4 linked regions of the Astyanax mexicanus genome follow. The protein of the gene in region 1 interacts with the protein of each later gene in a pairwise test. Links are inferred from orthologs where the notes say so. Each region holds a gene or a part of one and is shown on either strand. Other genes may lie near its edges. The genes, in order: trim32, ube2v1, rabac1 and ptpn11a.

The links.
Region 2: the proteins of trim32 (region 1) and ube2v1 interact in binary tests that used the Homo sapiens proteins (3 or more experiments, as listed by UniProt). The link is inferred for Astyanax mexicanus from reciprocal best matches to the Homo sapiens genes TRIM32 and UBE2V1.
Region 3: the proteins of trim32 (region 1) and rabac1 interact in binary tests that used the Homo sapiens proteins (3 or more experiments, as listed by UniProt). The two-hybrid records come from large-scale screens. The link is inferred for Astyanax mexicanus from reciprocal best matches to the Homo sapiens genes TRIM32 and RABAC1.
Region 4: the proteins of trim32 (region 1) and ptpn11a interact in binary tests that used the Homo sapiens proteins (3 or more experiments, as listed by UniProt). The link is inferred for Astyanax mexicanus from reciprocal best matches to the Homo sapiens genes TRIM32 and PTPN11.

What each region holds. Positions count from the first base shown.
Region 1 is NC_064408.1:6,800,136-6,807,232, reverse strand, and holds the start of trim32 (E3 ubiquitin-protein ligase TRIM32), read left to right. Parts: upstream 1-4,077; 5' UTR 4,078-4,179; intron 4,180-6,350; 5' UTR 6,351-6,361; coding exon 6,362-7,097. UniProt on the Homo sapiens protein: E3 ubiquitin ligase that plays a role in various biological processes including neural stem cell differentiation, innate immunity, inflammatory resonse and autophagy.
Region 2 is NC_064431.1:14,978,280-14,985,892, reverse strand, and holds the start of ube2v1 (ubiquitin-conjugating enzyme E2 variant 1), read left to right. Parts: upstream 1-4,587; 5' UTR 4,588-4,719; coding exon 4,720-4,741; intron 4,742-6,948; coding exon 6,949-7,097; intron 7,098-7,613. UniProt on the Homo sapiens protein: Has no ubiquitin ligase activity on its own. The UBE2V1-UBE2N heterodimer catalyzes the synthesis of non-canonical poly-ubiquitin chains that are linked through Lys-63.
Region 3 is NC_064413.1:5,389,698-5,397,399, reverse strand, and holds the start of rabac1 (prenylated Rab acceptor protein 1), read left to right. Parts: upstream 1-4,681; 5' UTR 4,682-4,795; intron 4,796-6,827; 5' UTR 6,828-6,829; coding exon 6,830-6,900; intron 6,901-7,563; coding exon 7,564-7,702. Other genes in the region: dedd1 (death effector domain-containing 1), read right to left, coding at 1-9, 427-886. UniProt on the Homo sapiens protein: General Rab protein regulator required for vesicle formation from the Golgi complex. May control vesicle docking and fusion by mediating the action of Rab GTPases to the SNARE complexes.
Region 4 is NC_064427.1:890,304-897,211, forward strand, and holds the start of ptpn11a (tyrosine-protein phosphatase non-receptor type 11), read left to right. Parts: upstream 1-3,900; 5' UTR 3,901-4,152; coding exon 4,153-4,166; intron 4,167-6,908. Other genes in the region: tmed2 (transmembrane emp24 domain-containing protein 2), read right to left, coding at 823-843, 1,482-1,674, 2,535-2,720. UniProt on the Homo sapiens protein: Acts downstream of various receptor and cytoplasmic protein tyrosine kinases to participate in the signal transduction from the cell surface to the nucleus. Positively regulates MAPK signal transduction pathway. Dephosphorylates GAB1, ARHGAP35 and EGFR.

The sequences.
Region 1 (7,097 bases):
AATGTATATTATTGTAGTTTTCTGTTTGGATTAATTTTGATTAATTAATTAATTAATTATTTAAATTAATTAATTCGTTTTTGCTTTGGCTTATTTGTTTTGCTTTGATTTAGTTTTTTTTTGTTGTTTTTTTTGTTTTGATTTATTTTGGCTAATTAAGTTTGTGTTTTCGTATTGATTTTCATTTTTTGTGATATTCAGTTTTTGTCTTTTAGTTTCTTAATTTTGCCTTTTGGGGTTGTTTTGTGTCTAATTTGGTATTTTGTCTTCTATATTTTTGATTAATCTAATTGATCTTTTTTTTCTGTGTCTAACTTTTTTGTGTTGGAATTTGAGTTAATTTGGGTTTTCTTTTCTTTGGAGCTCTTTTCTCTAATTGGGTTTCTATTTTGTTTTGTATACTTTTTTTGAGTGTGGGTTTATTTTATGGGGTTATTCTCTTTGGAGGATTACTTTGGTCAGTTGGAAGCCTTACCTTAATTTCTTAATATTTTGTGTTTGGTGTGCTAGTTCTTTTCTGCCTCGGTTGGGATTTTCTTTTTTTTTTTTTCGTAATTGTGGGTGTGTGCTCGTGTGCAGTGGTATGTGTGTGTGTAGGTGATTTTTTTTTTTTTTTTTGTCCTGCTGTCCTGGTAAGCCCTCAGTTGTAATATATATATATATTTCTTTTGTGATTCTGGGTGTGTATAATCTTTTCTTGATAATTGTTAATAAAACTTGTTTTAATTTGGAAACTACGTCTCTGTTCTCCAAGTGTCTTGGGCCTGTGTGTTCTTGTATTTCCTAAGAGGGAAATTCCCTCTAGGTGGCGTAGTCGTGCACTATTTATTTAATAAACATTTATTTATTTACTCCTCTTGCCACATTATAATTACTGCACGCCCAGGATAAGGTAGCTTTGGGCAACAGACAACACAAAGATGGTGAGTAAGAGAGAGAGGCCACACCCAATATGCAAATATATGGTTACAGGAGCCTATAGGAAAGCTGCATGAACCAACACTGTAGAAAGAGCATTGACACAGGTAGTGACTAAAACCCGAGTAAATATAACAAGACTTGTGTTTGTTGTGCAGATTTGTTGTGTACCTAAAAAGATTTGTTGGGATTACATAAATAAATTATATTAAAGAAAAAATACACAATATCTGGTATTTTGAACAAATGTGGAGTAATTAAAAACTAGATATATTCATGTAAATATAGAAACATATTTCTTTGTTGTTAATAACACAGATTTAATTACGTTACATTTACTAACGCTCAGATTTATTTTTTTCAGTGTGGGGCAAATCTCCCAGCTCCAGCTCCAGAACTCGGGCCGGTCAGCCTAAGGAACATTCCCCCCGAATGCACCCAGACTCACAATGGAGCTGTCATCACCGTGAGGGCGTTTGATTGATCGAGGCCTGCGGCATTTACTAATCGCATACGTCAGGCTGACCACACGTGCATTCTGTTCTTTGGGAAAGGTTCTTATTTAGGGAAAAATGTTCAGAATAATAATAAACAGAAGCTCCTGAGACGGGAGTTTCAGGACTGATCCGGTCAGAGTTTGACTTGTGAACCGAGCAAAGTCCAGAATCATCCATCCGTCCATCCATCATCCTATTCGCTCCGGCTCGGCCGGGTCTGCGGTGGGTCTGGAGGCTAAAATCAGGACGTGGCAATCTCTGAACCTTTAGAAATAATTATAGTAAAGGAGCTACGAAGAGTTCTTTCAGTGATGGATGACCATAGAAGAACCAATTTTATTAAATCATCCATGGAAACGAGGAATGAAAATGTGAGAAAACAACTGCAAACGTCCCCTCAATGTACAAAACGGTTGTGGAAACCCCTACTTCCACCGTGTCCAGAAGCTCCGCCCACTTCTCTACTACAATAGTTACTTTATATTCACTAATAGCACTTACTTTTAACTTTACTCTGAAACAATTAAGCATAAAATTTACTTTACTTTAAGTTTTGCAACTTTCTGCAACTAAAAGAAAGGATTGATTCAGTAAAAATAAATGAAGTAAAGTTTACTAATAGAAAGGATTGATTCAGTAAAAATAAATGAAGTAAAGTTTACTAAAAGAAAGGATTGATTCAGTAAAAATAAATGAAGTAAAGTTTACTAAAAGAAAGGATTGATTCAGTAAAAATAAATGAAGTAAAGTTTACTTAAAGAAAGGATTGATTCAGTAAAAATAAATGAAGTAAAGTTTACTAAAAGAAAGGATTGATTCAGTAAAAATAAATGAAGTAAAGTTTACTAAAAGAAAGGATTGATTCAGTAAAAATAAATGAAGTAAAGTTTACTAAAAGAAAGGATTGATTCAGTAAAAATAAATGGAGTAAAGTTTACTAAAAGAAAGGATTGATTCAGTAAAAATAAATGGAGTAAAGTTTACTAAAAGAAAGGATTGATTCAGTATAAATAAATGAAGTAAAGTTTACTAAAAGAAAGGATTGATTCAGTAAAAATAAATGGAGTAAAGTTTACTAAAAGAAAGGATTGATTCAGTAAAAATAAATGGAGTAAAGTTTACTAAAAGAAAGGATTGATTCAGTAAAAATAAATGAAGTAAAGTTTACTAAAAGAAAGGATTGATTCAGTAAAAATAAATGAAGTAAAGTTTACTAACAGAAAGGATTGACTGAAGTTCAGTTCACTTATTTACTCTGTGTAACATTTAAGTCTTGAAACCGAGTTGAAGTTACTTAAATTTATCTGAAATTAAATTTACTTAAAAAAAAGCAAATGCAGAAAGTTGCAAAACTTTTTTAAAGTCAATTTTACTCATTTTTTTCAGTGTACTGTACACAACACAAGCTCCGCCCACTACATCCTGTTTATGGCGTCTAAATTAAATCATATTAAATGTTTGTGCATATACCTACACTGCTGTGCACCTGTGTTCACTTCTCCAGTTCACTATCTGCTCTATTCTGATACACCATGAGTGGACTTTTGCTTCCATCTGGTGGTCTGAGCTGGAACTGCATTAAAAACAGAACACCAGCAGGAGAACTGATCAGAGGAGGATATGGGGAAACTGGGCTTTGTTCTCATCAAACTTAAATTTTGGATTTAAATAAGATTAATATAAATAATAGATAAATATTTAAGATTTAAAAAAATAATGTAGTGTAAAGTACAATTACTCTACAGTAAATGGCATTACTATAAGATAATAAACACCACTATTCTACAAATAATAATAAAATTAAGAATTTAGTAAGAATAATAAAATCATAGGTAAAATTACAGGTGATAAAAAATTATAAGACTGCAGTTACAGATGAATAATAATAATAAAATAATAACAATAATAATAATAATAATATATATATATATATATATATATATATATATATATATATATATATATATATATATATATATATATATATATATATATATATGTGTGTAAAATAAGTAAAATAAATCAAAGAAACAATAAAGACAAGAGGTTAAACGACACAAAATTCAAAAAGTTAACTAAAAACAAACTAAAACTAAAAATAAAATAAAAAATAAACAAACTATAACAGCGACAGGCTGTCTGAAGGTGATTATACTAGGAGTTTAAGATTATTTTGTGACTAGTAGTGGTACAGTATAGGATCAATAATAAAAATGTTTAAATAAAAACCTTTATACATATCTTTTTTTTTTTTACAATAAATCAATAAAATATTTTATTGTTAAATAACAAAACATTAAGATATACATTATTATTATTATTAGTAGTAGTAGTAGTAGTAGTAGTATTAATAATAATAATAATAATAATAATAATAATAATAATAATAATAATAAAAATGAAAAAAATAAATCATAATAATAATTATTATTAGTATTATTAGTATTATTAGTATTATTATTATTATTATTATTATTATTAGTAGTAGTAGTAGTAGTAGTAGTAATGTTTAAGATCAATAATAAAAATGTTTAAATTAAATTTGACATCATATTTATACAAATATGTCTTATTTTTTGTTGACATAAGTGACAGACATTTCTCTCAGCCAATCAGAGCTGAGGAAGGCTGTCTGTCTCTCCACCAATCAGATCGCAGTGGGGGACGGCCGCCACTGACGACGTCAGCGCTCCGCAGTGTCGCTCGCGCAGGCACGCACGCAGCGAGCGGCGGTGGAGAGACCCGCAGTCAGGCTGACATTGAGGTAAGCGGTACCGCACGCGGACAGCGCGCTCACCCACTCACAGCATATACCAGCATATACCATATACACCACTGCACTGCACTGCACTGCATATACACCGCTGCCACGCGCGCACACATAGACACAGGGTGCAGCCCTCTGCCTCTGCACTGGGCCTTAGCTCGAGCCTTTAGCATGGCTGCCAGGTGCACAGCAACATCTGTGCAATGCTGGACGTCTAATGCATCCTGTTTGTTTGTTTGGTGCTGATATTGCTGCAGTATGTGCAATATCTGCAATGCATGCTGCGGAATATTGCAAATGTTGGCTCGTGATTATATTATATAAAGCAAAAGATAAAGATAGAGCTAGTTAGCTAGCTAGTTAATATAGAGCTGGCTAGCTGGCTAAGGAAGCTAATGTGGTGATGTTATTGCATGCAAAATCAACAAAGTCAATAGGGAATACACTAGGTATAGATTTGGAGACGTCAAAACAAGTATTCCTGATCTTTTCACAGTCTTAAAAAGCTTTAAATTTGACAAAAAATAAAAAATGCTGTGTTTTCTATGTCTAAAGGAAGAATAACAATACTAGCAATACTACAGTGCCTGCCAATAGCTCAGGGGAACACCTGTCTCACGTGCATGTTGGGTCTCATAAATTAATAAATACTGCAAAACAAGACTAAGGGTGTTTTCGCACCTGTAGTTTTTATGGTTTCTATGATCAGAATCAGTTTTATTTGAAGGGTTTCTCCCTCTGTTTGGTTTGGTTTCACTTTGGTTTCCCTGGGTGTGATTGGAGATAACCACCTTCAAAGTAAATATAGTGAAAATATTCTGTGCACTTAATGTTGAAACGCTACGTTTTAAAACGCATTGTTTTAAATGTGACGTGCCGTGCAGATGTTCACATAGTAAACAGAATTGCGAATAGCATTCGTTCATAGCAGTATACTATTATCAGCATTTTATATAAAAAAATAAAAGAGTATATTTGACAACTGGGTCAAATCAAGGCCTGATCACGTTCTCACCACAAACAAATCGCTCCAGAGTTTGGGATCCGTTCGTTCGAGTAAAAAACAATCAGAGTCTGTTTTAACCCGACCAAAGAGTGCTGTTGTGAAAACGCCCTACGGTTCAATCCCATTTTTCTTTTGTAACCCTTTTCCTTGAAGCAGAGTTCCAACTAAAAGGGATAAAATCCTCCCCCTAAGAATTAGAATTAGCATTTAGGGCTTTAGTGTATGTCTTAGAATTAATTATTATTATCTATTCCTTAATTCCTCTCTGATTGGGAGCTAAATTTAGCTTTTATTCGCTTTTATTTTATTTTTCCGTTCCATTCCACCTTAAATACTGCAGCCTCTGCCTGTGTTGCAACCTTTAACTCTTTCAGACCTGAATTAAGTTCCAGTGAAAACTATAAGAATGCTGTTTTCTGTCGTCTTTTGTTCAATCACACAAAAGACGACCCTAATTGTCCCATTAACTAAAATATATTTGATTGCTCTTTTTTAATGTCCATTGCATTGGATGCCTTAAAATGTGTTTTACATTTTTAATGTTAGATTTGATATTGACCTTTGTACTTTGTACACAAATCATCCATACACAGTAACATGAACATCATAAAAGTGTTTCTAAATCACGTAAAAAATAGTAAAATTTAACTCTTACTTTGCTTTGTTGGCTGTTGTGCTGACATGCACTTATATCTTGAGTTGCTGGGGTTTTTTTTTCTGCTGCAGTGGGCGGGGCTAAGTTAATGTAAATTTTTGATTTGCTTGTTTAATGTTGTAATTGTAATGCATTGGGCGCAAGGTCTGAAGGGGATAAGGTGAGACCGTAAAGATATATAGGAAAATGTTCAACTTAAAGGATCATGTAGCCTTAAAACTTCCCCTAACCTAACCTACCCTTATAACCTACCAAAAATCGAGACACCCTACCCCTAGGTGTGCAAGCGCAAAACAAAGGGTTAGGGCTAAGTGGTTGGACCAAGGAATACAATGCCCTGCCTTGCTTCGCCCGCATGAGCTAACCGTAATTAGCGTAACGCCTGCTATACTTGCTCACTCATCACATCATCATATTACATAATTCTCTGCTGTACTGCACTGTACTCTAAATGACTCACTTGGTTCTCTTCTTCTTGTCTCTCCTCTCTGTGAACACCTCCGTTAGTGAGATGCATCATGGCCACTCCGACATGCCTGGACCCAGACCTGGTGCGGGAGGTGCTGGAGTGCCCCATCTGCCTGGAGACGTACAATCAGGACCAGCTCCGACCCAAGCTCCTGCAGTGTGGACACTCGGTGTGCCGGCAGTGCCTCGAGAAGCTCCTGGCCAGCACCATAAACGGGGTGCGCTGCCCGTTTTGCAGCAAGGTTTCCCGCATGAGTAGCATCTCCCAGCTTGCTGACAACCTCACGGTGCTAAAGATCATAGACTGCGCCAGCACCTGCAGCTCTGCAGCCGGCCTCATGTGCAAGTCCTGCAAGAATCGCCTGCCGCGGCAGTATTGCTGCGAGTGCGGCGTGGTGCTGTGCGACGCTTGCAAGTGCGAAGGACATCAGCATCAGGGTCACAGCGTGCAGACCATCCGCACGGCCGCTGAGCAGCGCAGGAAGGACCTTGGGGTGAAGCTGACCAACCTGCGAGAGGCCATGGCCAACATTCAGAAGAAGAAGGCAGCCATAGATAATGTGTCCAAGTCTCTACGTCTCAAGTACAAGGCCGTGCAGCAGGAGTATTCCAGGGCGGAGCTCCGGCTTCAGGAGGAGCTGGGCCGCTCGCGCCGTGCCTTCGCCGCCTCCATGGCTGAGGTGGAGAAACTCAACGCTCAGATTCTGGAAGAGCAGACATACCTTCTGAACATTGCAGAGGTGCAAGTGGTGTCCCGATGCGACTACCTCACCATGAGGATCAAGC
Region 2 (7,613 bases), on another chromosome or scaffold:
TCTCTCCTCGCCTACGTCGTGCACCAGTCTGACTATAAGGGGAAATCTATAATCTTATTTTCTTATTTTTCTTCTTTTTTTTTTAAGCAATCTAGATAGTGAGACCCAAATATGTCATACATTTAATGAGACTGTGCGTTTAATGTGTCGACACCTTTAAAGCGTTTAATCCGCTATAAAATGCATTATTTATTTATTTATTTTAATAGATTTACAGCAGGTTGACTCTGTTTAAACACTGTTGCAGGACGTGTATATTCATTTTAAGCTTTTATTTTTATTACATTGCATCTTAATTAGGCCTGTCACAATAATTACGTTTGGTACAATATCAAAACATAATTTATATAAACAAGGACAGCCCATTATTGTGAATAGAGAGAGAGGTTATATATATTCAATACAAATCTGCATTGTAGATTAATATTACTGTCATCCAAACTATGAAGAAAAACATATAGAATTATTAATAAACAAAACAAATAAGTGTTTTGTTGTAAAGCAGTAGAGTTGGTTCAGCGCTCCTAAAAAAGGCTGTAATTGCAAGATTATGCTGTTTTATTATCATTATATGATGACATGATAAAATGACAGATCTTGACAAATCCTAAAATGACAATAATACTGTTTTTCTCAATTATTTGTGAGTATATTAATACACCGTCCATATAAAGCTATTGTGACAGGCCTATTCAGAATAGTCTGCCTCATCATTAAAACGTCATTTCCCTGTGCTAATATCAATTAAGTGACAACATTTGCATTGTGGGTCATGTTAATACACAAAAACTAAAGAAATACAAGAATGCTCGTTCAAAACTCTAAATATACAGATGATTAAAGAGATCATTGACGATTATTTCAGATGCTGCCCTTTGTGGTATAATTACTATCATTGTGTTCATATGTTCATAATTTTTATAAATATTTGTATTATTGTGACTGCTGACTCACCCACACTGTTCAACAATTAAACTACTGATTTCTTCTCTCTCTGTATGCGTGCATGTCTGTGTGTGTGTGTCTGTGTGTGTGTGTGTGTGTGTGTGTGTGTGTGTGTGTGTGTGTGTGTGTGTGTGCGCGTGTGCGTGTGCGCGTGCGTGTGCTAAAGAAAGCCATATACACTCATACCTGCTGTTCATTTCTGTAATATAAAGTTGTTTTTAATATTCTGAATTTTGAACATCAGTAATCAGTCGGTTCAATATCTGTGAACGAAATTTTGTGAGCAATCAAAATGGTTTAATTACAGATGTTTTTTGTTTCTTTCTTTGTTTTGGTTGTGGTGAGCAGAAAGAAGGGGCGGGGTCTTTTTATATGCAAAAAAAATCTACAAAAAAAATGTAAAAGGGGAATCAAAGAATGGTGAAAGGGTTTGTAATGTATCCATTAAAAAGATCTAGTTTTAGGACTGCATGTTAATAACGACACTGTACTAACAACTAACGTACAGCTACTCTGTAAATACTGTTATTATTATTATTACCGGTATTATTATAATTATAATTATTATTTTCATCCTGTAATCTCAACTGATGAAAGTGATGCAGTGTGAAAAATTGGGTGAGATTGTATTTTTTTTTTCATTATTGTCTTTTGCATTTGTATCTTTAATTTTGGTTCAAACTCTCAAACTAAAATTCTACTGGGGCTTTGTTTTTCTGTTTTAAGTGCACATTCATTGCTTTGATTGATTTGTAGTGAAGGAAAACCAAACCACCAATTCTCTTCATTTTATTATGTCATTTAAGTAAAAGTTAATATAGTTTGTATATTTATATTTAATTTTTCTTGTTTTGTTTTTTTCCAGAATACTTCAGCATTAATCTGTCATGCTTTTCTCGTAAACGTAATAGACACATTAACTTAAGAAGATTTACAGCAATAATAATATCAGACTCTATAAACGATATAGACTGTAGACTATAGATAGAAGCCCGTAAGGAACTGTAGCTACGCTTTGACCTGATATTTCTGGAGCAATTTTTTTTTTTCAGTGCCATATTTTGACTAATGTACTTGATTTGTTTGTGGTTCTCAGGTATTAATATCTGAATTGTGTATGTTGGCCTTTTTATAATTCACTTTGCTTTTAGAGAAAGGAACATTGGTTATAATAATATTATTTTATTACTGCATTATACTATAATTTAGCTTGTTTACAACCAGAGACAGGACCGTGTAACATTTCAGTTAAATTTTCTGACCGAGTCTAAATTTGAAGACAGTAAACTGGGGTTTCAATCATCCAATTTTATTTTTATTTCTTAAAAATTGCCTGATGGAGGAAAACCTATTTTTATACAAAATATACAGTCAGAAAATTTAACTGAACTTGTTATAAGATGCAAAAAAATCTAAATAATTTCAGAAATTGCAAGAAGATTTGTTTTCTCATTTTTCCTAGAAAATTGGAAGACTAAACTGATGAACATTAAACTGACCAAAAATGTTTAACATAGAAAGAACATTTTTTTCCTTTTTTTTTTTCTAAAAGGCTAATGTGCTAACATGCAACATCAGAACAGCATGAACTGTTAGCTTTTATCTAGTGACACATTTGCATCCAGTTATTCTTTAAATTCTGAGATTTTATTTGGTCTCCAGGTCTTTCTCTACTGTAAAATCCTTGTATAATAAAAAACATTGAGTTTCTCAAAGCCTATGCAGAAACTAGCCGGCTCACTCCAAACCGCCGGCCGTCACTCCTCCCGCCATGCCGGAATCATTTTGTAACATTAAGCTGTGGTGAAGACAATTTAAGGGAAAGAACACAAAATCAATATTGTAATTTAATTGAATTAGTTTTTGTTTGTTTTAATTTTGTTTTGGGGTTGTTGTGTTTTTTTTTTTTTTTGCTTGTAATCTAGTTTGTTCAGGATGGGTCTTCTTCCATTGTATGTTGTCATTTTCAGTGGATGTGCAATAAATTATAATTCAAGGCTGTTTTGTAATACAGCTCTGTGTGGGTGTCTTCTAATTTTCTACAATAAGTGGAGATATGAATCATAAGACTGCAATTGTTAACTATTAAAAAATTAACTGAACTATAGGAGATATAGAGTGTTAGAGCAGCAGAACATGCTAACCCAAGCATAAAATATTAATATTAGTGTGTATTTTTCCTGTGGGGGATTATTTTAATTTATTAATGTGGATGTGTTTCGGCTGACCGTGTGTTTCCGGTTCCTGTTGTACCGCTGGAGCCCAGCAGGGGGCAGAAACTCATCATATAATGATCATCGATAATGAAGCTGCAGTCCTGCTGGAATATACTGCACACATACATACATTTACTTTAATTATTTATTAATTTCAACAGTCACGGGGACTGTTGTTTACAATAATTGTTTATAATTGTTTACAATTAACCTTCACTGAAGGTGAACTTTATTTACCGTGCAGCTAATCAAGCCAATACATCAAATATGGACTAAAAATTAGAGACATTAGACATTGTCCTGCTGCAGAACCCAAGTTCGTTTCAGCTTGAGGTCTTGAACAGATGGACGAACACTCTCCTTCAAGAATTTTTGGTTGACAGCAGACTACATGGTTTTATTTACCACAGCAATTCGTCCAGGTCCTGAAGCAGCAAAACAGACACAGACCATTACACTACACCCACCAACACGTTTTACTGTATAATATGGTGTTACACCAGATGTAATGGGAAACACACCTTCAAAAACGATGTCTAACTTTTGAGAATCTTTTGGTCTACTGGGTATGGCAAGAGAAATTGAACTCAGGTGTGATAAACCACAGTTATGTTTCAACTGGGGGACAAACACTTTTCCACACAGGGTAATGTAGGTTTGGATTTCTTTTCTCCCTTAATAATGAAAACCTTCATTCATAAACTGCATTTTTAACTAATATTTGAATTTGTTTAATAATCTGAAACATTTAAGAGTGACAAACATGCAAAAAAAAAAAAACATTTTTAAACCACTGTAAATATATTTATTGCAGTATATTGATATATAGTATTGAAGTGGGTAAAATTGGTTTCTTGCTAAGCAAAACATTTATTTATATAAATGTGAATTACTGGCATTAACAACTACAATAATAATAATAAAATAATAATTATGATTATTATTCAAATAAACAATTAAATGATAATTAAATAAAATTAAGTAAATGCTAACAGTGTCCCAGAGTGATCAATTTACTGCATTATGCTCGTAATTATTATTTATGTGCTGTTTGCAAAAACAGTGTCAGTCCTGGTGGGAGGAAGAGATGAGGTAAGGTTTTGTTTTGGGTTGGCGATTCAATATTATTATTATTATTATTATTATTATTATTATTATTAATAATACAAATATTATTATTTTCATTGTATTTGTAACTTGTAATGTTATCATTACTGCCTTTTTGTTCATGCTCTATTAAATACCTCATTGTGGCCTGTTATTGGTGGTTTTGATAAACAATTATTTATTATTAATTATTATTTTTATTTAATTATTATTATTATTATTATTATTATTATTATTATTATTATTATTATTATTATTATTATTATTATTATTATTATTATATTGCAGTGAGTGTAGGCAGTAGGGGGAGAGGCAGGGCGCGGCGGATATTGGGACAGACCCAGAGTGAATCAGGACTGAGGGAGGCGCGCTATACGCGTGAACGCGCCCTCATCCGCCGCGTGCCCGAGAAGAATACGGAGCGTGCGCGCTCCCGCTGCTCAGCGACAAGATGGCGGCGGCCGCCGGATCAGGTAAACCGACTCAGAAGCTAAACGTAGGTTTAATCCGGGCGGACTCGCAGAATCAAACCCGAACCGGAGCCGCACCGGAGCTGCGCGCGGAGCGAACCCGCCGGTCTGGCGACGCGGGTTCCTGCGGGGAGGCTCAGCGCGCGGGTCCGTGGGCGCGAGGCGGCGGGGCTGAGATCGGGATTTTACCGCTGCCGCCGCGCGCAAGGCTTAACCTGTTCCGTTGGGCCGCTTTCACGCGCTGTTCGCTGTAAACTCGGTGTTTTAGGGGGAGCGGGGTGAGGGGGAGGTTGGGGGGAGTGGGGCGTGGACCGGCTCGCGAGCTCGCGTGGCTGCAGCGCGATGACGCGGAAAGAACTGGAAGCTTCTCGGAAACAGCAGCACACCTGCGCGCGCGCGCTCCAGCCCGCCCTGATCAATATATTAGAAAGAGCTGATTAAACTCCAGAGATTTATCATCATTATCAGGATTTATCCGTTTATTATTGATTAGGATCAGGGAGCAGGAGGGTGGGCCGGTTTGTGAGATGGCAAGAGTTGTATGACTGGAGCTGATGAATATATTGATTGATTGATTGATTGATTGACCGATTGAATGATTGATTGATTGATGGATGCACAGGGAAAGCAAATACATACACTAGTTAGTTGATCTGTAGAAATTCAGATTGATGCACTGTGAACGGCTGATGGAGGTCCCGTTGCTTGCAAAAGTATTAATTCCCCTTGAACTTTTTCACGTTGTGTTATCTTCTAAACACAAACTATAATGTAATTTATTGAGATATTAAGTGATAGACCAACACAAAGTAGTGGAACGAAAATTTAGAAAACCTTTTCAAGGCCGCAAAAGACTTGAAACCTTCTATCAAGACAATGACCCTAAACATACAGCCAGAGCTACAGTGGAATGGTTTAGATCAAAGAATATTCATGTGTTAGAACAGTCCAGTCAAAGTCCTGACCTAAATCCCATTGAGCTTCTGTGGCAAGACATGAAAATACAGACGCTCTCTATCCAACCTGGCTGAGATTAAGCTATTTTGCAAAAAAGAATTACAAAAATCTCAGTCTCTTGGTGCACAAAGCTAGTAGAGACGTACCCAGAAGACTGCTGCTGTAATTGCTGTAGAATGTGGCTCAGTATTGATATAGGGAGGCTAAATACTTCTACTCTTTGCACTTTTCCGATTTTTATTTGATTGCATGATTTTGAAAATTGTGTATAATTTGCTCATTTATGTTGGTCTATCAATTAAAAAAACATAAATTGATTATATTGACTAATTGTTGCAGCCCTAGTTTAAATACTTTTGATTGCAAAATAGACTATTTGATGAGAGATATCAATAAAGGCACTATTATTTGGGTGCAATGACATTGGCATGGTGGTGGTGATGGTGGTGGTGTATGAGGTGTTGGTGTGTGTTGTATATATTGTAGCAGATTGGTAGGAGTGTCTGACAGAGTTGAGGACAGTGAGTGAACACAGTTTAAAAACTCCAACAGCATTGCTGTATCTGATCCACTGGTACCAGCACAGCATGCACTCATGCACTAATCTCATGTATGTGGAGGTGTTATTGGTATTGAAAGGTATTGTGAGTTTCTGCAGACTAATTTGGCAGTCAGTCTGCAGTGCATGCAGATGAGCTAGTCTGAGCTGCACTGCAGGACTAAACCAAACCTCCAGGATGTTTTCGTGACCCCCCTCTAATCTTGATTCTCAGCAGTGGTGCTTAAATTCACTGCAGCAGGAATCTAAACAAATCCAAACCACAGGACTATTTTTTTGCCACACTACCCCCTTCATACCTGTACTGTTTTAGTGATATGCATTTTGTGAACATTGTAGTGTGGGATGTGTTTTCATCGCTATTGTTTGCTGTAACAATTTTCTATGTGAGTGAGGTTTAGACATATGCTTTCATTTACCATCTAAGTTGGTGATCGTCCTTATTAGGCTTGTCTCTATGTACCTTTGTTTAAGCTTTTGGGACAATTGGGATGAGTTTCAGTGCACAGCACTGAAACATTTTTAGGGACTACTTTTTTATAGCATATGTATTCCTCCACCATTTTAATGATATGTTATTTTAAAAACACATTTTTGGATTCAGAATCTTCTCAAACTTGGGTGAAACAGTGTCAAGTATACTGTGTATTCATAATTATTAATGTAATAACTTTTTGCTTTTTTATCATTTTAGGCGTCAAAGTTCCTCGTAACTTCCGGCTGCTGGAAGAGCTGGAAGAAGGCCAGAAGGGCGTTGGTGATGGAACAGTGAGTTGGGGTCTGGAGGACGATGAGGACATGACACTCACACGCTGGAGAGGCATGATCATTGGACCTCCCAGGGTGAGTGTTACTGCAGAATAATCAGACATCTGTGCGACCAGCTAAAGTACTTCCAACATTCTGAACTGAATTATATTTGGTTATGTTGGGGTCAGCTTGTTTTTCTCCTTTACATTTTACTAATGCACTGCACTTAAATAATACTTTTAAAGCAAAGATTGTGTTGCCGTCTCTTGTCACAGTGAATAAATCTGGTGATTTTAACAAGGAATCAATTGCCCGTTCTGTTTGCCTACCAGCTCTCATTTTATTTCGATTTCTGCCTTTCCTTTGTTTAGCAATGTGTTAATGAGCAGATTATTATTAAGTTTGCTATTCGAATATCCCCATGTACACTGATCTGGTATCAGCAGCCTGCTACCATCATAACGTGGGTTTTAACTTTTAACACAGCCTCTGCAGTTAGTAACTCTGATAATCACCAATAACTGTTGTTGAGAGACCTTTAGAATGAATATATGTGGTTTTGCAGGAAAGGTAGCAAAAGCACACTGATACTTTTTACTATAGAATTTT
Region 3 (7,702 bases), on another chromosome or scaffold:
CAGGTGACACTAAGAAAAAGAACGCAGACAAGAGAAAGATGCAAAATCATTTTAGGATTATTAGTGCATTATTATTATTATTATAATACAGGCCTTGGCACTACTTTTTTATATACACATATATACACTACATAGGTGTTTCTGAGTGTTCTTTAATCCTGGTCCTGGCACCCATCTGCCCGGCAAACATTTTAGAGGACTGCCTGCTTTAACATACCCACTGCAACTCTGAAAGAGTTTGTTATAATGAGTTGATTACTTGAATAAGGTGTGTTGGGAGAGGAAAAAGCCAGGGAAATTTGCAGGAAATGGGGCACAAGGAGAAGGACTAAAGAACTCTGCATAATCCAACAAATGCAAACTCGCTCACATAAATGACTGGGATGATAATGGGTGTGGAAAGCATTTATTTGGTCTACTCCTCACCTGTTCTTCTTTTTTTGCTTGAAACGAACGGCAAGAGATCATGTCGTGTAAGAATCCGAAGGAGCTGCAGAAGAGGTTCCAGGTTTCCTTCATGCAAAAATCCACGTCTCTCCATTTCCAGCAACAGTTCCGTGCCACTTTTGGGTCTGTGACGGCCGAAGGCAAGGCAGAAGTCCCCTCGCGGGCATATTCTGCGCCAAGCCTCCAAAAGACGCGGGCAAGGAGAGTTTGAGGGCACATCGGAGTCCGGAGAGACTTCCTCTGTCCATCCCTCTGGATCAAGAGGGTGCCTGCCTGGGTAAGCTTCGTCGAGAAGAAATGATAGCACTTCAACGTCGGATTCTGTTAACTGGGAACCCACAATCTCGAAGACTTCATGAAGAGACAACATGTCATAATAGCTCAGGCAGTCTGTCTCCTCCCAGTGCAGGGAGTATCTCGGGCAGCGGACTGTTGCCATGATTAGCTGGTTACCAACAAGTGTCTGCAAGTTTCTGCAACAGAGAAACATGTTAATAATAATAATAATAATAATAATAATAATAATAATAATAATAATAATAATAATAAATAACATTAATAATATTAATATTAAAAATAATAACAATATGCAACATAATCGTGTATAGGTCCTACGATTCTGCAAAATTTTGTGTTTCTATGTCAAAAGCTGTGGGAGGAGTAGGGTTACAAAAAGGGTGCAATAATAATAATAATATTAATAATAATCATAATACGAAGAACAGCATGTAAATAAAAACATAATAAACACATACACACACCAAACACAAACTCCACCACTTAAGGTAGAACTGAAAATGTAAAATATCATGCTGTATGACTGCAAGAGGAAACTTCTCTTAAGCAGATGACACGTCAAAATACGACTCATGGACCAAACATGCCCAGTCTTCCGCACTGCCGGTGTTCTGTCGAGTCGCGATACCCATCAAAACGTGCTACTTAAAGGTTCTGCGCATGCGTTAATTCTCTTTTTTTCTATTTTCACGTGTTTTCCTGATAATGATGTTTTTCTTGGGATTTTTTTGCTTAAGTTAGATATTTTTTTTACAATAAAAATATAATAAACAATAACTATAAAACAGATTCTAATCACATATATTTGCCAAGACTTTAAACGCGAGAATGATGTATTTTTCGTAATGTTTACCTTTAAATACACTAGGGTAGCATGTTTTGACAAGGTGGCACAAAATGACAGAACACCGGGTTACATCACGGTTCTAGTGCACGTGTACAAATTGCGTAATGTCACGTTTCAGCTGTCACTTGTAACAGCTGTAGCTAAAGTTGCTTCTAAACACAACACTTAACTCAAAATTACCTCGCGTTTCAGCGTTTTGGAGCGAAATAAAAGCGGACGAGTTCATGCAAGTCGGGCTACAAAGCTATCCGCGCGACCTGCTGTGTCAGCAGTGCTGTATTCACTTTGATTACGGTACAAACTCATATGTATGTTAAGCTTAAAGCGTATATAACACTTCTTAATTTTATTAGTAATACAACAATACAACAATAAAAATTGACAGAGCCACAGCAACGCTTATTTTTGAAGTCAAAAGACAAATTAACTTTTATTTATTTTATTTATATAAAATGTATTCACCTTTTTCTTTCTGTCTCACACTCGCGTTGTCATGCACACAAACACACACAGCGGACTGCATATTTTCACTCAAGCTGTTGAGTGTGGAATATGGAGCTACACTAGTGTTAATTTTCTCCATTCAAAATCACATTTACACTAAGTAACTCAGCATATTACAATAGTCTATTCTACACTGAGATATTATTATACAGTAACAAAAATGGACACAGTTTGCCAGGTGTTTATCACCATACACCATTATTTTTGCCCCTTCCCAAAAATACAGTTAAGTACCAGCATTAAAAAAAAAATCATGATTTTATCCACGATTTAGTCACACAATATTGTTGTGATTAATACAATTATTTTAGGGGTTGGCACCAATAATACAAATCTGAGTGTTTCTAACATTGATTACTTTATTCACATGTGAATACCCATTATGAGGCTGTGTGATTTATAAAGATTAATCTTAAAATTCTATTGTAAATAATTCGATTAATATTTTAAATGAGGGTTTGAAGTTCTTATATGATATAACCTAGCTTAGCTAGCTAACCTAGTAACGAACTAACTAACTAACTATACAATAAAATAACTAGCAAGGAACAGGTAACTTACCATCAGTTCCATGCTAGCTAGTAGGACAGGGTGACATTTAAAAAATACTAATTTTGATATTTTCCAAATATATAATCGATTTTCAGTTATTATTTAGATTTTAACATCAGTTTTCACTTAATGTGATAAGTAAGCTATTGTTTCCTTTACATTTCGTTTATTTTTTATTTTAGGAAATAGTAAACAACCCCCTTCAACCTTCCTTTAACATTAGCTTTTTTTATTTAGCTTTTATATACACGGTGCAAGCATAGTCCTTGTATTTCAGTTAAGGAAAAGTGTACAGTAAAATAGTTTTTTTTCTGACAGAAGCAACTGTCTATCTACTGAGATTATCTCTGGTAACGATAGCTCATATGTGTAAGTATGTATAAAATAGTAACTTAGTTAAGATAATTCGATTATTCATATTAATTCAAATAATCTCCCAGCCCTACTAACTGGCTAGGTTAGGTAAGTTAATTAATTACCCAGCTAGCCTAGCTATGTAACGTTACTGTAGTATTTGGCTAATGCTAACGATATATTACACACTAACTTGACTATTAGGAGCAGTTCCATGAATTTAGTTAAACTAGCTAGTATTTTTAAGCGATAATTCTCATATTTTTACAGTTTCCAGCAACACTCCTCATTCGAGAACATTCCGTTTTTCGGTTTTACATCGGGAATTTCCGGCCTGTCAGGCTTTATAATCGAACTGTTTAGACAAAGTCGGTTATTTTAGATTCCTTTGAGTTATTATTGCATGTTTATTAATGGAAATTATCAACAAAACCGACGACAGTTCTCTAAATAGAAGGTTTACCGAGGTTAAGGGATATCAATAAGGCCCCTGTGGACTAAGCTAGTTACGCTAGCCAGCTACACTTCGCCTGACACTTCTGCCTGCCTTAGCTTAGCAACAGAAAAACAACCCTAACCAGCGCAGCCGTCGACGGACCACACAAAAATACCGATTATCAACACTAAATATACACTAATATTAAAGTTCACCCCTCTTTATTCGGTACAGAAATGATATAAACCTTATTTTACCACACTTACTTAGGTCAAAGCAAGAGGACGCCCACGGTCAGCTTTCTCAAAACATCCCTTCACTAGCTTAGCTACAACGGGGCATACAGAATAACAACACCGAACAGCCAATCACAGCGCGCACAGCACACGCACCGTGACGTCCCACACACCGCGACCAATCACAGAGCGCTCTGCACCTTTACATGTGTTATTTTTCAATATTTTTATTGTATTTAATTTTTCGCTGATAATAATTGATGATGTACAGTATGTATACAGTACTAGTCAAACGTTTGGACAAACATTTTCTCTTTCAGTGTGTTTTAGTTATTTTTTATAATAATTACAAAACACTAGACTGTTCTAATAGTAAAGCTGAGCTGCAGTAATCAATAAAAATTTGCAGACTTTACTGTTTTTAAAAATATCTAAATATGTGTGGACGGGCCTGAATGAATACCATCTTTGAGGGCTATGTCTTATACAAAGCCCTGCATGTATTTGGCCAAATTTTTAAATTTTATTAAATTTTAAGAATGGGTTTCAGACTAAAAATCTTAACATAATTTTTAATACACTTGAAAAATTTTGTAAATGTAATAGTTTGCTTTTTTAATGTATATACATATTGTGTACACCTTAATGCTAGTGGGGAAAAAAACTACACACTTTGCTTTTACCAAATTGAAAAACTCTAAAATATAACCAAGAAGAAGATGGATGATCATGAAACTATCAAACCTTCAAACTAAGCTGAACTGCTTGAATTTGTGCACCAGGAGTTGCATAAATTTATCCAAAAACAGTGTGTAAGACTGGTGGAGGAGAACATGCCAACATGCATAAAAAAGTGGTCTCTCAATGTTTTACAGAACTGTATATTTTCTATCAAGACAAAGTATAATATAAAGCGTATTGCTTAAAATACATTTGATGGAAATACAGAGAAAGTATATTTAATGTATATTTTCGTAAAGTATAGTAGGCAACACTACTTATACACAGGTACTTACCGCAGATGGCAGTGTTCAGTATACTATACTCACTGTTATAGTAGAAGAAGCAGCAGCTCCACATCATCTGCCAGCAGAGCACAATATAAACAGGACCAACATTACAGTAAGAAGCGATTTTCTCTGCATTCTGTACGATTTAAAACCATTTTAATGTGTAAGTTATATATTCTTATAAACTACTTGCGTGTATAGTTATCTATTACATGCCCAGCTTTTATTGTGTAATATTACAGGGTGTAGAGCTAGTAACGTTAAGCAAGTTAGTTATTAGCTTAGCCTCGGTGGTTTAACGCAAAACTAATCTAAAAAAAAAAAACAGTAAAAAAAAAAAAGTTTAATTTTAGTTAATTTGGTAAATTAGTGACTTAAAATAGTCTTAAAAAATTGTAAAATTGTATTTTTGCCTTTCTTATACGGTTCTAAAGGGCTGGGCATGAAGTGACAAAGATTTTCCATTAGCACACGTAGACGTGGGTAAGCCAGGTCCAGAAAGTAAAGATCCAACCCAGGGTTTTCCACCAACTGCAGAGCCGCACAGGCCGTCGGTGCAAAACCATGGGTTGGGTTTTCACTTTCTGGACCTGGGTTACCCACCTCTAGACACGAGCTAACCAGTTAGTAGTTCGACTTGTCCATCTTAAATGGGGCAGGAGTTAACGTTACATTCAGGCGTCTACATTTGAGGTGGAACGGCACATTTATTTTGCAAATATTTTTAATTATCTTGCCTTTTCCTCCTGTTTTAAAATTAGGCATATAAAAGCAGCTAGCAAATAATAAAAAAAAACAAAAAATAAAATAAAAAAAATCTTATTTTACCTGTGTAATTTTATATTTTGTATATATGCTACTAGAGTTAAAGTAGAAATACACAATATTTTGACAAGCAGACAAAACAGAAAAAGCTGTGAAAAAATCTGTGATTCTGCTATTCAAATACTTTTTATTCAGTACAGTGATTTTTTATTAATTTCTTTGTGGCATATGTAATTAAAGAATATAATTAAATTTAAATGTATCTATATTTATGTATAACCCAGCAATAACGTAGTGTACGTTCAACAGGTTAAAATAAGCTTAAAACAAAAGCTGTGTATTGTTCCTTGAATGGTCAGCTTCCTTTGTGCTTCCTTTATTTTAATTTAATTATTTTTATTTCATTTTTTTGCACAATGTAACATCAAGAAATTATTTTTGCATAATGTAGTGGAGTAAAATGTAAATTTAAAATCGTAGTGGATAGAAGTTAAAAGTGACCCAAAATGGAAATATTTAAGTACCCACTAATTCTAGAGACACAGCCAAGAGCATGTAATATTAAAGCTGTCAACTAAATTAGGACTTTCTCTTGTTCTCTTAGTTGTGTACTTTCCAGCGGGCTAAGGTGCTGCCACTATGATCGGGAGATTGCTGGTTCGAATCTCGTTAATGTAGCTTGCCATCAGCTGCTGGAGTCCTGAGAGAGCACAATTGGCCTTGCTCTTTCTGGGCGGGTAGATGGCGCTCTCTCCCCACATCACTCCAAAGAGTGATGTCAATCAGCACAAGGCGTCTTCTGTGATCTGATGTATCAGAACCGAGTCACTGCGCTTTCCACTTTGAGTGTGAATTGTGTGGATAAAAGTTGCCTACTAACAAGGCTACAGATGTTTACCAAAAAAAGATAGTCCTCATATAACGGAGAATAAAACTGTTAAAGGTATATGTGATATATAACATTTGTTATATTAATATTCGTAATTAAAATACAATATGTATCCATATATTTGCACTTTAAAGCCGCATTAAAAGCTTGTTGGTCATTTTTAGGAACCTAATGACGTATTTATGATCTCTCAGACCGGTCAAACAAGATTCTTTGCATTCTTTCACAAACCCTGAAAGCTGAATATGGGGTGAGAGGTTTCCATTGACACACCCTTTCTAGCTTTTTATTTAAGGTTATTGAGAAATAGAGGTTGGTGGCCAAGATGTTCTACATTATGAGGTATTGTCTTTCATCTCTCTATGAGACTGTAGCAGGTCCAGTTATATAAGAATACATTTGCATCATGTCTAATTGTGTAAAGTCTGTGTAGGCATTTTACGGTAAGATAAGTATATTTGTTTCTTTTTCTTGGTGTGTTTGATTTTAGAAATGGATTCGAAATTGAGTGACCCCTTCAGCAGCGATTCAGAGGAGCTGCCCGCAGCAGGAATAATGAGCAGGTGAGAAAAATCAGAGTTTAAATGTTTTTGTAGGGATGTATTTCTTAAGCAGTTAGGGATGCCCTAGACTTATGTTTTTTATATGAACCAGCAGCCAAACATGCTTTTCTGCACCCTCTACTGGTGACAGTAGAGGTTTTCTTTACGTGTGTATGTGTGTGTGTGTGTATATATATATTATTCATTTTTGTTTTTATCCAATTAAAAATTTACTAATCTAAAAAATAAATCAACAGATTAATATATTTAGGTAAAAAGCGAAAGTAATGGAAGCAGTTACAAAAACTCACTGTAGCAACAAAATCTAAATATTTGCCAGAATTTGCCCCATTTAAACCTGTGATTACCAGCATTTTGAAAATAAAGTCCCTATGCTCTGTAGGCCACACCCCACATTTAAAGCCTGATTGGACAGCACAGGGGATTTAAACAGCTTGTGTTAATAGTGCAGTTCAGGGACTTATTGGTCTCTGACCTTTATCTTCTACAGAAGAGAAAAATGGGTTGCCAGGTCTCAGGAAGAGATACTGATCATATAAACCCAGTGTTGTGTGGTAACCTGAAATACTGGTTCTTTTCTAATGGTGGTGGTTGTTGTTTTTGCATATTGTAAAAGCGTACCTAACAGATGATGCACGTCGCTCTGTCTTCCTACAATGTCAGGCTGCTGCCCAAAGGCATGTCCGGTAGCATGATGAAGGAATGGCTGGACCGCCGGAGAAAGTCCATCCGCCCCTGGGCCGGCTTCGTGGATCAGCGCAAGTTCTCCAAGCCCAAGAACTTTGGGGAGCTGTGTCAGCGA
Region 4 (6,908 bases), on another chromosome or scaffold:
ACTGAATCTGATTTTCTCAATTCCAAATTGGGCCACTTTAATATGTGGTATTAAAATTCGACCAACATTTGTCCAATTTGTGATAATGTGACTTAAATCATCAAACTTTTCAGTTTCTGAATCAGTTTCTCTGATTTTGCTATTTATAGGTTTATGTTTGAGTAAAATGAACATTGTTGTTTTATTCTATAAACTACAGACAACATTTCTCCCAAATTCCAAATAAAAATATTCTCATTTAGAGCATTTATTTACAGAAAATGAGAAATGACTGAAATAACAAAAAAGATGCAGATCTTTCAGACCTCAAAGTTTTAAGAGTTCAGAAATAATCAATATTTGGTGGAATAATCCTGGTTTTTAATCACAGTTTTTTTTTCATGCATCTTGGCATCATGTTCTCTTCCACCAGTCTTACACACTGCTTTTGGATAACTTTATGCTGCTTTACTCCTGGTGTAAAAATTCAAGCAGTTCAGTTTGGTGGTTTGATGGCTTGTGATCATCCATCTTCCTCTTGAATATAAAGTTGGATATAAATCACATTAAAAAGATAAATAATCATCAGATTTGGTGAGAAAATCAGATTTGGGTCATTTTTCTACCTGCTACCCACACTTCTACACTGATCACATTTAATATTTAAAACCCTTTAAATTTCTTTAACCACCACACTGCCGTTAGTCCGTGCTGTTCTCACACGATGCACAGGCAGCCCTGATTTCAATTAACAGACACACACCAACCCCTGGCAACAGTTAGCGTTAAGCTAATCGTTACAGTATACGTTAAAATAAGCTTCATTATGCTGCCTACGCCTACCATCCCAGCTGTCACCACCGCCTGAGAAGGGAAGAAGTGAGAGTTACGGCACAGAAAATAACCTTAATTTACTAAATTACATAAAATACATAAAAAAATATATTTCTTTAATCATGACAGTAATAACATATGCTTTGTTTCTAAAGCACTTTTTAAGAGTTGAAAATAAAAATGTAAAAAAATAATAATAATAACGTAAAATAAATAAAATAACTAAAGTAATAACACAGTGAAACCTGTAAACAAACAGTGTGGTTGCACGTTTCAGTTTTTAAGAACAATGAAAACATTTTTAACTGTCCAATGGTTTAATATGGTTAGCGGCTAATGCTAATGCTGCTGCACCCAGCCTTAGTGCTGGAGAAACTTTACTGAAAACTCACCCTTAAACAAAATATTGGAATTCTTAGCTTACTGTAAATAAATTTACTCACCCAAATAAACAGCTTTCGGAAGAGAAACATGTTTGACTTTAAAACTAAATATATATATATTTTTTGTTTTTTTAAGAATCATAGTTTTGTTTACTTGCTCACTTCAATGTAAGCATCCTTACTAGTGTCTCTTAATGCGCCTTACAATCTGGTGGTCCCTATACTCCGAAAAATATGGTAATATCTAACCCAGCCTCACTGAACCCTCTCTAAAAACGAACCCACCTTCCGTCTCCATGTCTTGACCTTTGGGAGCTTCTCCGATGTCGATGGTGAACATGACGATTTTGGGGGTCATGGTGGACATCTTGTTACTGAAGCAGAACTTGTAGGTTCCGTCCATATGAGCCGCCACAGAGTACTTCCCACTGGACTCACGGTCTCCTTTATATATCTGCTTTCCATCAGGTCCAGTTATCTGGAGATGATTTTAGATTAATTATTTAGAGAGGTAAACATGCACAAGTTTTAGGGGTTAATTTTTCTTTTATGATATAAAATGTAGATATAATACAAACATCTAAAATTATAGTACACATTTTACAGCACACCTTTACTCTACCTCTTACACCTGCACTTGCCCTCCACCTTTCCTCACCTCCACCCTCCATCACCTCAGATTCACCTTCTCTCTTCCTCATCTCCACCTTCAACTTCTGCACATCCACCCTCCCTCGGTCATCTTTCAATTTCTCTCACCTCACTTAGCTCCACTTCTTTCACCCCTACCTGTTCTTACCTCCACTCTTTCTTACCTACAACCGTCTCTCGCTTACACCTACACCATACCTAAACAAGACCTCCCTCACCTTTGACTCCTACACCTCCACCTGCCCTCACCTTTAACTCCTCCACCCTCTCCCACCTCTACCTGCCAAAAAATACCTCCTTTACCATTAAGTCCTACACCTCCACCTGCCCTCATCTTTAACTCCTCCACCCTCTCCCACCTCTACCTGCCAAACAAGACCTCCTTCACCTTTAACTCCTACACCTCCACCTGCCCTCACCTTTAACTCCTACACCTCCACCTACCCTCACCTTTAACTCCTACACCTCCACCTGCCCTCACCTTTAACTCCTCCACCCTCTCCCACCTCTACCTGCCAAAAAAAACCTCCTTTACCATTAAGTCCTACACCTCCACCTGCCCTCACCTTTAACTCCTACACCTCCACCTGCCTAAACAAGACCTACCTTACCTTTGACTCCAACACCTCCTCCACCTCCCTCCCTTTACCTCCACCTGTTTCACCTTTACCTGCCCCCCTCTCTCACCTCCACGTCTATATCCAGGAATCCTCCCTCCGCCACCTCGAACATCAGGCCCATCTTGGTACCGGAGTTCACGCGCTCATAGAAACACTCCTCCGCGTGCGCGTCCACACTAACAAAGTACCCGGATGCCGAGGCGGCGAGCGCGGCCAGCAGCAGCAGCAGCGCGAGCTCCGGGCCCGGGGACATCCTCCAGCGGGGACCGGGAACCGGGAACAGGGGGAACTAGGACTGGGGAACTGGTTTAGCCGGGCTGGATCAGCACAGAGCTGCAGCCGGACTGCCACGTACAGCCTTCTGACCGAGAGCGGGGAGGGACAAACAGAGCGGCGTAGAAACGCGAAGCTAAAATAACACAGTTCGTCGGTCGGTAATACAAACCTAATTAATACCGATATCTGATATAAACTACAACAGCACATTCAGAGAAAAACTAAATGAATCTTAACTTTTAATAAAAAAAATAATAAAATGATTTTAATGTAATAATAAACATTTAATAAACACTCAATAAATTGTTTCCTCCAACGATTTAATAAATTGTTGACTTAGGTTAATGAATTATTCCTATAATTACTAATCATATATTTTTTCTCTCAGCTAATAAGTTGTTTCATTAGTTTAATAAATATTTTTCTTTATACTGTATAATAAACAATTATCTCATTTTAAAACGTAAGTCATTCCTTCAGTTTAATTAAGTGTTCCCCAATTTTATTAAATTGTTCCTTCAGTTTAATAACTTAATCCTGCAGACAAATTAATTTTTCTCTCATCTTAAAACTTTGTTCTGTGAATTTAAGGAATTATCCATCAGTTTATAAATAATTCCCTCAGAAATAATCCCTCAATATAATAAAGTATTGTCTTAATTTAATACATAAATAATTTCTTCAATTTAATATACCCTTAATAATATGTTTCCTAGGTTTAATGAACATTTTCTCAATTTAACCAGTTATTCCCATTATTTAATACATAATTCCCTTAATTGAAGTTAACAAGCTGTTTTCTTCGTTTAATTAAATGTTCCCTTAATTTAATAAATCAATCATACATTCATTAGTTTAAATTCTTTAGATATATGTTTTTCTACCTCGTTATTATTAGTATTATTTCTAATCTATCTCAGTGTTATATCTTAATGTTTTTTATTTTACAATTCGTGTATGTCTTATGAGTCTTATTTGTATTTAAAATATAGATGCAATACAAATAAATACCTTCATATTTTGCATGCTGTAATTAAGTGTGCTGCCTGCATTATCCCAAATTGCGTGCTAATCACTATCACTATGTAGTCAGTAGGGGAGGAGTGTGCGGTCTGTGATTTGGGACGGAGCCCCGCCGTGTGTTTGCACCGCTAGAGGCCGCCGCCGCTGAGCGCGGGCAGTCCAGCCGAGCCGCCGTGTCGCATGTTCGGTGACGTTCTCCAACTCGACTGGAAAGGTCTCCGATGCCGAGGCCTAGCGAGCTCTGTAGCCGCTCCTCTGATCCGGTTCCAGCAGATGAACACGGTGCCGAACCCGTCCTGAGCGGGCCCGGTTCTACACGGCGCGGTCGGCCCGGAGAGTGAAGTGACTGGAAGCGGAGCGGAGCGGCGGAACCGAGGCTGGGGAAGATGACATCCCGGAGGTGAGGCTGAGGAGAGGAAAAACAAACTAGTGTCAGATGTTTCTGAACCGGGGAGAGAGCTGGGAGTTCGGACAAGGGTTCTGAGGACGTGTTTGGATCAGAACCAAAGTCCAAAAATGGAAAAGTTTCAATTGGTGCGGAGAGGAAGCTGGGAAACCGCTTCAAACTTGGTTTGTGTGCTCGATTACTTAGTTTTAGCTGATCCAGGTCTGGAAAGTGAGAACCCGCTCCGGGATTTCGGTTCAGCTGCTTAGGCTGCTCTGCTGCAGCAAAGAGACTGATTTATTGAATTATGAGAATGAGTTATTAAATTATGGGAATTCTTTAATAAATTGTTGGTATGATTTAATAAATGATGAGAATGATGAGTGATTTATTAAATTATGGGAATTATTTATTCAATTATGGTAACGGTTCATTAAACTTGGGAAACATATTGTTAAGAGCTTATTAAATTGAAGAAATTATTTAACCATTTATTAAATTAAGTTGTTTATTAAATTCAGGGATTATTTCTTAAACGTAGGTGATTATTTCTTAAAATTACGGAACAATTTATCAAGACGAGAAAAAAATGTATTTGCCTGATGGATTCATTTATTATTTGAAAAAAACAATTTACGTTTTGAAAGAATGATTTGTTAAATAGAGGAAATTATTTATAAAACTGATGAAACAACTTGTTAGATGAGAGAAAAAATAGCTTTAAAAAAGAAATAATGATTATTTAATATTATTATTTTTTCAATAGAGTGAGGACTAATGGACTAATTTATTAAACTATGAGATTAATTCGTTAAACTAATTGGTCAATTATTTAAATTAAGGCAATAGTTTGTTAATTTGAGGAAACAATTGAGCTGCAGGCGAGCCGCCAAATCCCGGAGCGGATTCTCATTTTTCGGACCTGGATTAGGCACCGGACTGGATCCCTACTTTCTACAACTATTTAGTTAGCAGTGCAGTGCGCTAAAGCTAAACAGCTAATTGTAGCTAAGCGAAAAAGGCTAACTAAGCTAATGTTCAAAAATTAAACATTATATTTCATACACAATCTAAACAAACATTTAAACACAGAAAGCAGCCAATAAAGCAATGAAACACCGCGTTTTTGTCGTTTTTACCACAGCTTCTGTGCTCAGGGACACGTCACAGCTAGTGCTAACTACACAGCTAACAAGCTAACTAGCTAACTGGCTAACGACTGAACGCTATCACGTTTCTACGACTTTTTAAAGCTTTAAACATTTTCAAAACGTTGTTAAAACTTGCTCACTGCCTCCTATAATTGCGATATATCGCTAGCTAACGTTGTCAAAACGTTCTGAGAAGAAATGAGTTAGCTGAGAAGTTGGCTAGCTGCATTTCAATGTTGTGACAACGTTTTAGGCATCAAAACACTAGCGTTAGGTTGGCACGACGTTGCACACTTTCTTGCAGTTGTGTTGAAAGGTCGAGACAACGTTAAGTACTTTTCTACTCGTTTGATGCGATGTTTCAGACTCTGAACTGAAAAGGCTTCATTTTGTTGACTAACGTTAAAGTTTTCAGGCCTTTATAAAACTACCAACGTTCTTACGACGTTTAAAAAAAAGGTGGTGCTGTTTGTGTTGTCATTGAAAGTTAGGAAGATAACTGACGTTAACCTACTGACAAGTAGTTAGGTGCATATAAATGTTGTGACAACATTGTGTGCACCAAAACAAAAGATTGACACAACGTTGCACACTTTTTTGCTGTTGTGTTGAATGGTTGAGGCAACGTTGTAAACGTTGTTTCAGAAGCTTCAGGTTCAGGCCTTTTTAAAACTTTCTTACAACATTGTCAAAAGGTGGTGCTGATGTGTTGGTTGTCAGAAAGTTTGTCACAACGTTGTTATAAAGAGTACTAGATTGCTGTTAGAGAGACGGCTAATGTTGTCGGAACGTTCTGAAAAGAAATTAGCTGCATATCGTTGTTGTGACAATGTTTTGTGCACGTCTTTTTATGCAACTTTCCAACTTTGCTTCAATGTTTGTGGTCTCAAAAACAGTGTGGCAATGTTGTCTAAAGGTGGTGTTAAAAATGTTGTAGCAATGTTTTCTACTTTCCTACAACTTTGGTGGTGGTGTGGGAAGTTGGTGTTGTTTACATTGTCTCAGACAATATTCTCACAACATTGTCTACTTTTTTACAAGTTTGCTACAATGTTGTGAGCAGCTGGTGGTGTTTATGTTGTCTCAACCAACATCGTCACAACGTTGTGTACTGTCTTGCAATGTTGCTACATTACTGTAGTCCAAGAGAGGTGTTGTTTACATTGTAACATCAAAAATGTTGCCATAATGTTGCCAATTCTTGAATGTTGTAGATAATGTTGTTACAACTTTCAGAGGAATTGCATTTAAGCATTTCAGTGTTGAGAAAATGTTGTGTTGACACAACAAAGCCTACTTTCTTACAGTGGTGTGTGTGGGAAGATGATACTGTTTAACATGCAATGTTGTTAAAACCTTGTCTACTTTGCCATAACAATAGTTTGACACAACATTTGTATGACATTGTCCACGTGTCTTAATACTGTTTCTATTGCCTCAGACAATGTTGTCACAATGTTGCTTTTTTATAATGTTGTTACAACTTCGTCAAAAGGTGTCTGTTATCGCCGTCTTAAAAAATGTTGACACAACATTGTGTAATTTTTAAAAAATTTCAGTGCTGAAAAAAAAGTTGTGTTCACCAAAAAAAAATAGGTTGGCACAA